Linked DNA regions of Macaca mulatta. The protein of the gene in region 2 purifies or fractionates together with the protein of the main gene of each other region. This does not show direct contact. Links are inferred from orthologs where the notes say so. Each region holds a gene or a part of one and is shown on either strand. Other genes may lie near its edges. The genes, in order: EEF1A1, VARS1 and EEF1B2.

Evidence for each region.
Region 1: the proteins of VARS1 (region 2) and EEF1A1 purify together in Homo sapiens (affinity purification with mass spectrometry; 3 studies listed by BioGRID and IntAct, counting the BioPlex papers as one, with this or other methods). This does not show direct contact. The link is inferred for Macaca mulatta from reciprocal best matches to the Homo sapiens genes VARS1 and EEF1A1.
Region 3: the proteins of VARS1 (region 2) and EEF1B2 fractionate together in Homo sapiens (co-fractionation; 3 studies listed by BioGRID, with this or other methods). This does not show direct contact. The link is inferred for Macaca mulatta from reciprocal best matches to the Homo sapiens genes VARS1 and EEF1B2.

What each region holds. Positions count from the first base shown.
Region 1 is NC_133409.1:112,151,403-112,155,368, reverse strand, and holds the start of EEF1A1 (elongation factor 1-alpha 1), read right to left. Parts: upstream 2,811-3,966; 5' UTR 2,798-2,810; exon of another isoform or gene 2,160-2,797; intron 1,852-2,159; 5' UTR 1,822-1,851; coding exon 1,678-1,821; intron 1,324-1,677; coding exon 1,144-1,323; intron 1,024-1,143; coding exon 727-1,023; intron 644-726; coding exon 493-643; intron 406-492; coding exon 149-405; intron 52-148; coding exon 1-51. UniProt on the Homo sapiens protein: Translation elongation factor that catalyzes the GTP-dependent binding of aminoacyl-tRNA (aa-tRNA) to the A-site of ribosomes during the elongation phase of protein synthesis.
Region 2 is NC_133409.1:150,527,215-150,530,743, reverse strand, and holds part of VARS1 (valine--tRNA ligase), read right to left. Parts: coding exon 3,487-3,529; intron 3,247-3,486; coding exon 3,122-3,246; intron 3,033-3,121; coding exon of another isoform or gene 3,030-3,032; coding exon 2,945-3,029; intron 2,693-2,944; coding exon 2,592-2,692; intron 2,459-2,591; coding exon 2,331-2,458; intron 1-2,330. UniProt on the Homo sapiens protein: Catalyzes the attachment of valine to tRNA(Val).
Region 3 is NC_133417.1:111,411,961-111,416,249, forward strand, and holds the start of EEF1B2 (elongation factor 1-beta), read left to right. Parts: upstream 1-1,461; 5' UTR 1,462-1,786; coding exon 1,787-1,866; intron 1,867-2,386; coding exon 2,387-2,509; intron 2,510-3,145; coding exon 3,146-3,272; intron 3,273-3,675; exon of another isoform or gene 3,676-3,754; intron 3,755-3,834; coding exon 3,835-3,901; intron 3,902-4,027; exon of another isoform or gene 4,028-4,157; intron 4,158-4,287; coding exon 4,288-4,289. UniProt on the Homo sapiens protein: Catalytic subunit of the guanine nucleotide exchange factor (GEF) (eEF1B subcomplex) of the eukaryotic elongation factor 1 complex (eEF1).

The DNA.
Region 1 (3,966 bases), about 38 Mb from region 2:
CACAGGGGCATAGCCAGCACTTATTTGGCCTGGATGGTTCAGGATAATCACCTTGGAAAAAAAGATTTGCGTTCAGTGTAAATCCAAAGTCTCAAATGACTTTAGCCTCTGCAATAAGGTAGGAACATGTTACTTTAAAAATTGTTACCTGAGCAGTGAAGCCAGCTGCTTCCATTGGTGGGTCGTTTTTGCTGTCACCAGCAACGTTGCCACGACGAACATCCTTGACAGACACATTCTTGACATTGAAGCCCACATTGTCCCCAGGAAGAGCTTCACTCAAAGCTTCATGGTGCATTTCGACAGATTTTACTTCAGTTGTAACGTTGACTGGAGCAAAGGTGACCACCATACCGGGTTTGAGAACACCAGTCTCCACTCGGCCAACAGGAACAGTACCAATACCTAAAAATATTTACAGCATACTAAATACCTATGAAGGAAGATAGTACTCTACCAACTCAAATTCAACTTTGTTGACACCCAACTTACCACCAATTTTGTAGACATCCTGGAGAGGCAGGCGCAAGGGCTTGTCAGTTGGACGAGTTGGTGGTAGGATGCAGTCCAGAGCCTCAAGCAGCGTGGTTCCACTGGCATTGCCATCCTTACGGGTGACCTTCCATCCCTTGAACCAAGGCATCTGAAACACAACCATGCCAATTTGTGTAAGCATGAAATCGCCATTCCCAGAGCTTTTTAACAACGGTCTTGAAAGCCACTTACGTTAGCACTTGGCTCCAGCATGTTGTCACCATTCCAACCAGAAATTGGCACAAATGCTACTGTGTCGGGGTTGTAGCCAATTTTCTTAATGTAAGTGCTGACTTCCTTAACAATTTCCTCGTATCTCTTCTGGCTGTAGGGTGGCTCAGTGGAATCCATTTTGTTAACACCAACAATTAGTTGTTTCACACCCAGTGTGTAAGCCAGAAGAGCATGCTCTCGGGTCTGCCCATTCTTGGAGATACCAGCTTCAAATTCACCAACACCAGCAGCAACAATCAGGACAGCACAGTCAGCCTTTAAAGAAAGCAAAGACATATCCCTGTCAACTCTCCAAAGGACAAAACCAATGCACAAGACAGGCATTTCAGGGAAAAAAAAAAAAAAAAACAACCTAGAATTATTAATCCCACCAACCTGAGATGTCCCTGTAATCATGTTTTTGATGAAGTCTCTGTGTCCTGGGGCATCAATGATAGTCACATAATACTTGCTGGTCTCAAATTTCCACAAGGAGATATCAATGGTGATACCACGTTCCCGCTCAGCTTTCAGTTTATCCAAGACCCAGGCATACTTGAAGGAGCCCTTTCCCATCTGTAAGGATTAAGAGTTGTTACTTGGTTACTAACACACAAACTCCAGCTTCAATTTCTTTGCCCCCAGCCCTTAATTGGCACATAGTTTCCACTTTACAACTGCAAGTCCTAAGCAATTTTAGTCACTTAGATAGGGTTACAGAAGCAACCAAAAAGCAAACTTTTTAAAGTAGGATCTTGACTATTAATATCCAAATCGAAACTACTCACTAGCAATACGGTTACAGAAGTAACCAAAAGCAAACTATTTTAATAAGTAGGGTCAGATCTAAACCACTCACTAGTTCTGGGGAAATCACTACCACTTAATGATTCTGCTGGTAAAACTCATTTTAGTTCATCTTTCCCATACCTCAGCAGCCTCCTTCTCAAATTTTTCAATGGTTCTTTTGTCGATGCCACCGCATTTGTAGATCAGATGGCCAGTAGTGGTGGACTTGCCCGAATCTACGTGTCCAATGACGACAATGTTGATATGAGTCTTTTCCTTTCCCATTTTGGCTTTTAGGGGTAGTTTTCACGACACCTGAAATGGGAGAAAAAAACTTTGAACCACTGTCTGAAGCTTGAGAATAAGCCAAGATCCAAATTCGAAAAGGGCAAATTCCAAGGAGAATTACATCGAGCGCCAAGCTGGCCTAACTCTTCAGTCTCCACCCACCAAGTGTGGGGAAACTCCACCGCACAAAACCCCTCCCCCAAACCTAAGGAAGACGTACTCCAAAAGCTCGGAGAACTAATCGAGGTGCCTGGACGGCGCCCGGTACTCCGTGGGGTCACATGAAGCGGCGACCGAGGAGGGAAAGGCCCTTTTCCTTTGTGTGGGTGACTCACCCGCCCGCTCTCCCGGGCGCCGCGTCCTCCATTTTGAGCTCCCTGCGGCAGGGCCGGGAAGCGGCCATCTTTCCGCTCACGCAACTGGTGCCGACCGGGCCAGGCTTGCCGACCAGGGCGGGGCGACACACCGCCGCGCGAGGCCCGGCACCAGAGCAGGACGGCCAGCTTGAGACTCCCCCCGTCCGACTCTCGGTGGCCGCGCTCGCAGGCCCCGCCTCGCCGAACATGTGCGCTGGGACGCACGAGCCCCGTCGCAGCCCGCGGCCCCCAAAACCCCAATATCAGTGTGCAGATCCTGGTCCGCATTTATAAGATTATCTCGCCAGGAAAAAGGCGTTGCAGCTGGTCATCAAAAATTTTAAATGGCTAGAAACTTAGTGAAAGCAGCGGGGCAGGCGCGAAGGTGCTACCAGATTCGCACGCGGCAGCCCCAGAGCCCAAGCCAGGCCTCGACTCAAGCACGAGGCGAAGGGACTCCTTAAGTGCAAGGCCTCGACCTCTCCCACCCACTTCCAACCCGAAGCTCGGGATCAAGAATCACGTACAGCGGCCAGGGGCGTGTAAGTAATAAAAGGCACGCGAGGGCCATAGCCCGTAAAGAGGCCAGGCCCGCAGGAGCCACACACAGTACTTACCTGTGTTCTGGCGGCAAACCCGTTGCGAAAAAGAACGTTCACAGCGACTACTGCACTTATATACGGTTCTCCCCCACCCTCGGGAAAAGGGCGGAGCCAGTACACGACATCACTTTCCCAGTTTACCCCGCGCCACCTTCTCTAGGCACCGGTTCAATTGCCGACCCCTCCCCCCAACTTCTCGGGGACTGTGGGCGATGTGCGCTCTGCCCACTGACGGGCACCGGAGCCTCACGCATGCTCTTCTCCACCTTGGTGATGACGAGAGCGGGCGTGTGAGGGGGCGGGAACGCAGCGATCTCTGGGTTCTAGGTTAGTGGGAGTTTAACGACGGTCCCTGGGATTCCCCAAGGCAGGGGCGAGTCCTTTTGTATGAATTACTCTCAGCTCCGGCCGGGGCGGGGGGGGAAGAGGAGGGGGAGGGGGAGGCGACGAGGTGGCGGCCTGGAAGGGACGTCCAGAATCTTTCCTCTACCATTGCTAGCTTAGCCCCAAAGGTTGTGTTGAGATTAGGGTGTACCTTCGCCCCCCAATCAGCCTCCTGTCCTCAGCCTTGCTATCTCGCTAGTCCGTGACAAATCCCTAGAGCGTCGTCTTCTGCCGGTCTCAGCCCAGCCCCGGGTTGGCTCCTCCTCCGCCCCGGCTTCCGCGCCCCTCCCGCGTGGCAAGGAGTACCAGGCCCGGGGACCCCGAGGGGCTTGGGGCGAAGGGTCTGGACTGGAGGACTCCTTAACGGCTCACGGACCTGCGAGAGGTTCGGCTCGATGGCCGTGAGCTCGACGAATCCGCTCCTGTGCTGGCCTCTTGGCTCCTTCCATTCAAAGCCAGCTGCTTTTATCAAAGCCCGTAACACGTCATCTCCCCCTGGTACTCCAGATGTCCAGGCTTTCAGTTTAGAATAGACTCAGTCCTACAGTTAGCTTTAGATCTAATTCTAGTTTTGTTACGCCAAAAAGTTCCTGCGAGTGTGTGTGTGCCTCATGGTACTTTTTAAATTAAAAGGTGTACAGTCATTTGATTGCAAACATAAGGAAGCTAAAAAGCTTTCAAATTCAGATTTTCCACGTGATCTCATGTAGAGACTAAGATCTACAGCATCAGCAAGTTTATCCACCCAGTTTCCTAACCCCAACACTTGCTATGAAGTCACAGCTTCTCCTATTTAAATA
Region 2 (3,529 bases):
CACTTCTTGATAGCTATACCAGTGAAACCCTTCCACACATGCTTGAGCAAGCATGTACAGCAGGGGTATCCAATCTTTTGGCTTCCCTGGGCCACACGGAAGAACTGTCTTGGGCCACACATAAAATACACTAACACTGGCCGGGCGCGGTGGTTCACGCCTGTAATCCCAGAACTTTGGGAGGCCGAGGCGGGTAGATCACGAGGTCAGGAGATCGAGACCATCCTGGCTAACATGGGGAAACCCTGTCTCTAGCAAAAATAAAAATAAAAAAATTAGCTGAGTGTGGTGGCGGGCGCCTGTAGTCCCAGCTACTCAGGAGGATGAGGCAGGAGAATGGCGTTAACCTGGGAGGCGGAGCTTGGAGCTTGCAGTGAGCCCAGATTGTGCCACTGCACTCCAGCCTGGGCGACAGAGCGACACTCATCTCAAAAAAAATAAAAAATAAAAATAAATAAATAAAAATACACTAACACTAACGATAGCTGATGAGCTTAAAACACACACACACACACACACACACACACACACACACACACACACACACACAATCTTAAATGCTTAAAGAAAGTTTACAAATTTGTGTTAAGCTGCATTCAAAGCCTTCCTGGGCCACAAGTGGCCCACAGGCTGCAGGTTGGACAAGCTTGATATACAGGGATGTGCATTAGAGTAAGGTTTTCAACAACAACAACAACAACAAACCAGAAAGAACCATTAATTAAAAAGTGACTCCAGGCTGGGAGCAGTAGCTCACTCACGCCTGTAATCCCAGCACTTTGGGAGGTTGAGGCAGGCAGATCACCTGAGGTCAGGAGTTCGAGACCAGCCTGGTCAACATGGTGAAACCCCATCTCTACTAAAAATACAAAAATTAGCCGGGTGTGGTGGCAGGTGCCTGTAATGCCAGCTACTTGGGAGGCTGAGGCAAGAGAATCGCTTGAACCTAGGAGGTGGAGGTTGCAGTGAGCAGAGATTGCGCCACTGCACTCCAGCCTGAGCAAAAAAAGCGAAACTCTGTCTCAAAAAAAAAAAAAAAAAAAAGAGTGACTTCACTATGGTATAGCCACACTATGGGATATTATGGAACAATGAAAAAGAAGGAAGTCAGTATGTGTGGTATGTGTGTAAGGACAAGGAAAGATCTCCAAGAGAAAGTGTTAAGTGTAAGAAGAAAGCTAGCGCATAACATGTGTAATGTGAACCCTTTATGTTAAAATATAGAAAAGACTCACCCAAAAGGAGAACTATAAATTTCTATGGGTACATGTATATGTAAGTAAATAGGAAAGATCTGGAAAGATACACATCAAAGTGATAACAATGGCTAAATCTTGGGAGGAAGTAGGTGTGGGGGGGTGGTCAAGGGGATTTGAAAATTTAAATTTCTTATAAGAATATATTCATAGGCCGGGCATGGTGGCTCAAGCCTGTAACCCCAGCACTTTGGGAGGCCGAGACGGGCGGATCACGAGGTCAGGAGATCGAGACCATCCTGGCCTACACGGTGAAACCCCGTCTCTACTAAAAAATACAAAAAACTAGCCGGGCGAGGTGGCGGGCGCCTGTAGTCCCAGCTCCTCAGGAGGCTGAGGCAGGAGAATGGTGTAAACCCGGGAGGGGGAGCTTGCAGTGAGCTGAGATCCGGTCACTGCACTCCAACCTGGGCGACAGAGCGAGACTCTGTCTCAAAAAAAAAAAAAAAAAGAATATATTCATATATTTTGGTCAGTTGCGGTGGCAGATTCCTGTAATCCCAGCTACTTGGGAGGCTGAGGCAGGAGAATCACTTGAACCCAGGAGGCGGAGGTTGCCATGAGCCAAGATGGTGTCACTGCACTCCAGCCTGGGCAACAGAACAAGACTCTGTCTCCAAAAAAAAAATATATATATATATATATTTTTTTTTTTTAATTAAATTCAAAATAATGTTATTGTTACTAGAAAAAGAAGGGATAGGCTGGGTGTGGTGCCTCACACCTATAATTCCAGCACCCTGGGAGGCTGAGGCAGGAGAATCACTTGACCTGGAGACCAGACTGAGCAACAAAGTGAAAACCCATCTTCACAAAAATTTAAATTAACTTAAATTAAAATTAAATAAAGAAAGAAGGGAGAGAAGAGAGTCTGCAAGTGGCAGTGTTGCATGGGAGTACTGGACTAGGAGAGGAAGCTAAATGATCAGATGGGAATGAGAGAGAGAAGTGTAGCGCCTCTGGGGGCAGAGGTAAGCACCAACCCAGAAAGAGAGAGGCTGGGGGGCTGTCAGCCAAGAGGAGAGAGCCAGATGAGGCAGAGGGAACCAGAGGGAGGTGCGGATAGGAGCTCACCATCGAGTCAGGGAGTCCTGGATGGCGTTGGTGAGCGCATGGCCCAGGTGCAGGGAGCCTGTCACGTTGGGGGGTGGGATGCACATCATGAAGACACCTCGGGGATTTGCTGCTGACACATTAGGACGCTGATGGTGGAGAAGGATGGCACATGTTTAAGGCCTCAGGTCACCTCTCCCAGCCCCTCCCAGGCAACACGTCCTTCAGTCCTGCCCTTCCCCACCCCACCCACTCTGGGCCTGGGCAGCAGTGCCCACTCACCCCATACTCTGGCTTGAAGAAGCCCTGCTGCTCCCACCAAGGGTACCAGGCAGCCTCCACATACCGAGGGCTGTAGGAGTCGGGCATGGGGCCACTGACATCTGGGGGAGAGGAAGGGAGGGCTCAGTGCGTGGCTGAGAGCACCAGGAAGGAGACGGGCTAGCAGAGAGGGATCAGGATCTCCCTCTCTGAATGTCGCTTACATCGTAGGACAAGCATTTGAGGGGCCTAGGGGCAGGGGAGGGGGTCTGCAAATCCTCACCAAACAAAGTGGTGAGAGCAAGAACAGAGCAAAATAGGGTGAAAACTTGGAAGGGGCTGCTGAGAGGTGAGCCCCTTCCCACTCCTAGTACCTTTCTTTTCCCCGGGTGGGGTTGGGAGGTCATAGGTAATGACCCCAGGATCCCGTTTCTCCCTCTTCTCTGGTTTTGGTTTCTTCTGCTTGGGAGGGAGAAGACATAGGCCCAGGCATCAGCCACCCCATCACTGCACACAGCAACTTTCCTTCCAGCTCCACCCTCGCCTCTCACCTCCCCTGCAGGTGGCTGCTGCTGTTGGATCTTCTGCTTCTGTTGGAATTTCTCTAGCTTCTCCCGTTTCTTTGCCTCTTTCTTGAGCTGAGCAGCTGTCTTTGGGAGGGCAGGAGTCTCGGGGCCTAGAGAGAAGCACAGAAATTCAGACTCAGCCAGCTGGGGACCCTCTTGGATGGCACTACTAGGTTTCAGATGGGCTATTTCAGATGCCCGAGGTCTCGCCCATGCTGGCCTCCCCCCTCCCCCTCCTCTCCCGCAGGACCCTGCCCCAGTGATTCTGCCATTTCTATGAAAAAAAGAAAGTGAGTTGCATGGAAGGCCCCATGGAAGCCCCTATCCTCCAACTCCTCACCCTGCCTCACCTGGCTGATGAGAGAGAGGCCTGGCCCCTGAGTATAGAACTAC
Region 3 (4,289 bases), on a different chromosome or scaffold from region 2:
TGGATTCATCCATCTACTTTCTGCCTTCCAAGGTACCACCCTATCCCAATCCACCATCACTCCTTGCCTGGAGTATTTCAATATCTTCTTAACAGGTCACCAGGCTTCCACACTATTCCCACACAGCCCCTCCCCTCTTGACACTGGCAGTGACCTCGGACTGAAATGTTCTTCCCTGGCCCCTCCTTATCCTTCAAATCTTGGCTTCGAAGCCTTTTCTCAGTTTCATTGACCAGCCTATCTAACATTTCCTGACGATTCCCCAGAATATCACCCATTTTATTCTTCTTTACGGACTCATTTCTGGCTCGTAGTAAACGTTCAGTAACTGTTAAGTGAACTGAATCTCTAATTTCTGGTCGTTAATTTGTAGGGACCACTTTCCCGGATTTAAAAAGTGCAGGTGCTCTGGCAGCGTTAAGTCGGTGAAAACAAGACTATTCCGCAAAACAAAAATAACCTGTTTATTCATCAAAAAGTTATTGTTACACTTCTATACTGTCAATTCGTGTGTGAAGTTGTGTCTGATCCAAGACCTCACAGTACAAGCATAGATCCCAATAACTTGTAAACAATATTTTGTTATTCGCAATGCAACCCTGAGCTAACTTTTCAAAAAGTCATTTTTCTCAATTTCCCGTTAGTGAAAGGAATTTAAAAATTCTGTCCAACGTGGTCAATGGACAAAACAAATAAGGACAACAGAAGCGTGAGCCACTGCTAACACAACAGCGACCAAACAATCATGTACTGTACCAGGCGTGTAAAAATCTGGGGGAAAAGGCTCAGTCTTAAGGCTTAAGTCATCGGACACTGGTCCTCTACCGGGGAATAAAACGGCCTCCTCTGAGAGGGGAATGTCCTGAATTTTCCCTGCAGAGGGAAGGTCACCTACAAGCCCGCATTCGGGCCAGCGCTCCCGAGGGCCCCCTAATCCTCATCTTCCTTTCTGCTCCATCAGACCAGAGACCGTGGCTAAAAGCCCCACTTGCCGGCTCTCAGAGGCTTCCGAGGCGGCGGGGCGGGAGGCGGCTCCCAGTCAAGGACAAGAGAAGACTAAGTCGCGTGGGCCAAAGGAAACAGTCCCGTCAATAAATAAGCCTCTGACCCATGCACCTCACCCTTCCCATCCATACAAGACCTCACCTTCTCCCCGGAGCCGCGGAGGCTGTTCTGCTAAACTGTCTGGACCACAACTACCCCCTTGGAGGCCGGGTCGCTTACTCAATATGGCGGCCTCAGCTAACTCTGTCAGCCGGGCCTGGAGAACGGAAAGCCCGGAGGGACTAGAATCCTTGCATTCGATAAGTTTGTCGGCAATTTCCGTCAGCCGACCAGAGGGCGGAGCTGAGGTCGGCCCAGCCCGGAGGCGGGAAGGACAACTTGGACCCGCAGTTCCGCCGGAAGTGGCCGGCAGCCTCGAGGCCGAGCGTCTTCGGTCATCTCCGGCGCTTCTAGGGGCGGTTCCCGTCATCTTCGGGAGCCGTGGAGGTATGAACTTAAGACATGCCCATTTTATTAATTTATTTCCAAACGCAACGAAAGATCCAGGGACAATTTGTGAGCCGTTTAATTCAGGGCCCCCAATTCGTACGTGGAGAAGTGGGAATGCTAACGTACTTTGACCTTTAACCTTCGGTCCGGCGTGGTGGAGGGAAACGCCTCCGTCTCTATATAAGGAATTTTCCGGCTTCTCCGGGCCCTTTTTCCTCTCTTAAGCGCGGGGAGCCCACAACTTGTGCGCTCTCTTTCTGCTGTTTCCCAGCTCTCGGATACAGCCGACACCATGGGTTTCGGAGACCTGAAAAGCCCCGCCGGCCTCCAGGTGCTCAACGATTACCTGGCGGACAAGAGCTACATCGAGGGGTGAGCGGACCGGCTGAGTCGGGGTGGTGGAGGGGTTTCTGGGACCGGGGCCGGGGCCACGTGGCGCAGCGTGTCGGCTGCCGCTGGAGGGAGGGAGACGGGGCCCCAGGGCCCTTTCGAGGATGACGGGAAAGCGCCCCGTGGCCATCTCCCAAGGCCCTCGTGTGGTGCGAGCCCGGCCTCCGGGGAGCGGCTCACGAGCAAAGGAAGGTTAAAATGTGCTTTATTTACACTTAATTCAGCCAGGTGTTTCCACATCGCTGCCCAGTTAATACATGTTAGGTTGTAGATAGAGCAACGTTAGAGATTGCAGTATTTGAGGTCTGCAGACATTTCTCAGGATAGCGCGGTGACCCAAACATATGGTTTGATTTTAAGGAGATAATAAGAAAAGAAAAGCATTAAAGCAACCCTACTGGAGTTAGTGCCCACTAATTAATGTGATGCATAGGCACTGATTATTTATTCGCTGGCGTTTGTTTTTCAAAGGTGTGTGTGAATGTCTCTGTGTCATTGGCAGGTATGTGCCATCACAAGCAGATGTGGCAGTATTTGAAGCCGTGTCCGGGCCACCGCCTGCTGACTTGTGTCATGCCCTACGTTGGTATAATCACATCAAGTCCTACGAAAAGGAAAAGGCCAGGTAAAATCATCTTTGTATCTAGCTGAAGAATAAGACTACTCTCGAAGCTTTATCAGGATGTTCACATGACAAAACTAGACCCAGGCTACTTTAGTTTTGTTGGGGTATTGTAAGCTAAATTTTTCTGTAACCTGAGAAGGCCAAGAGACTGAAGCCCTCCATTTTTTCACAGAACAGGTAGAACATGGACAGCAGCAATTCAACTTTTCCCCACACTGCCCTGCCAATGTGCCTCGACCTTGACCTGGGGGGCCCACCTCTGGGGTGAGAGGGTGGCTCATTCATTCAGTCCTTGGCCATTCTTCTGAAACTGCCAACAAGGGTGGAAGTTTGGGGAAGTGGACTCCAGTTCACTAAGAATGGAACTGAGCATACTTAATGAAATCTCAAACAGAAATGTTCATACTGAAAGAGTAAATCATAGTGAGTATTGAAAATAATGTCTCACATGGTACTAATGCTTGTCGGGTGAGGAGTTGAACATATGATAGTGTTTACCTGGGAGCATGTGAAAGGGTAAATTATTATTGCAAAAGGGATCTAGTGATAAGTAGTGATTAAAACAAGTTATTTTGTATTGTCTGGAAAAGTATGTTATACTAGCTCAATAGTGGTTGAATTTAAATGTTTTTCAAGCCTGCCAGGAGTGAAGAAAGCTTTGGGCAAGTATGGTCCTGCTGATGTGGAAGACACTACAGGAAGTGGAGCTACAGATAGTAAAGATGATGATGATATTGATCTCTTTGGATCTGATGATGAGGAGGTATGGCATCTTCTATAAAGAATATATCGGCCAGACACGGTGGCTCACGCCTGTAATCCCAGCATGTTGGGAGGCTGAGGCGGGTGAATCACGAGGTCAGGAGTTCAAGACCAGCCTGACCAAGATGGTGAAACCCTGTCTGTTCTAAAAATTTAAAAAAATGTGGCGGGTGTCTGTAATCCCAGCTACTCAGGAGGCTAAGGCAGAGAATTGCTTGAACCTGGGAGGCGGAGATTGCAGTAAGCCGAGATCATGCCACTGCACTCCAGCCTGGGCGACAGAGCAAGACTCCGTCTCAAAAAAAAAAAAGAATACATCGATCAGCAATTTTATCAATGTGGTTAAGCCAAATTGCCTGGATTTGAATCCTGGCTTTAACTTATATGCCTTTTTCAAATTCTGACTGGTTGCATGATGAATAAAATCAAATCACCATCTTTCGGCTGAGTTCGTGATGGATTTGCTTTTTTCTGATTAAGCCAGTCTTTTTTGTGATGACCCCACTAGCTTTAAGCAGATGACAACCGACTTTCTGAAGTGGATTAATTTTTTTTCTTTACAGGAAAGTGAAGAGGCTAAGAGGCTAAGAGAAGAACGTCTTGCACAATATGAATCAAAGAAAGCCAAAAGTAGGTCATTTGTTTTTAACTTCATTTCATGATAATGTAAGTAATCTTTTTCAAAGCTTGACCTTTAAGTAATTTCCTCCACATTCCTTGAACAGGTCAATATTTTAAAACCTCCTGTAGAAGTTCTTCCACAGCTACTGGTCTGCAGCTGTTCTTATGGTAGCAGTTGTGGCATTCCTCTGTGGGAAAGAAACTGTTAACACAAACACCTCTTTCTTAGCAAAACAGAAAGTGGGCATATGTGTGACAGACACAAGATGTATCTGTAGTTTTGTTTGGCTAAGGAGATAGTCAATCTCAAAACAAATTGAGGTGATTTGTTTGTGTCTTGGAGTAAGGTAAAAAAATACAGTTCATTATTTGAATAATGCTGTTTATTTTTTTAGAA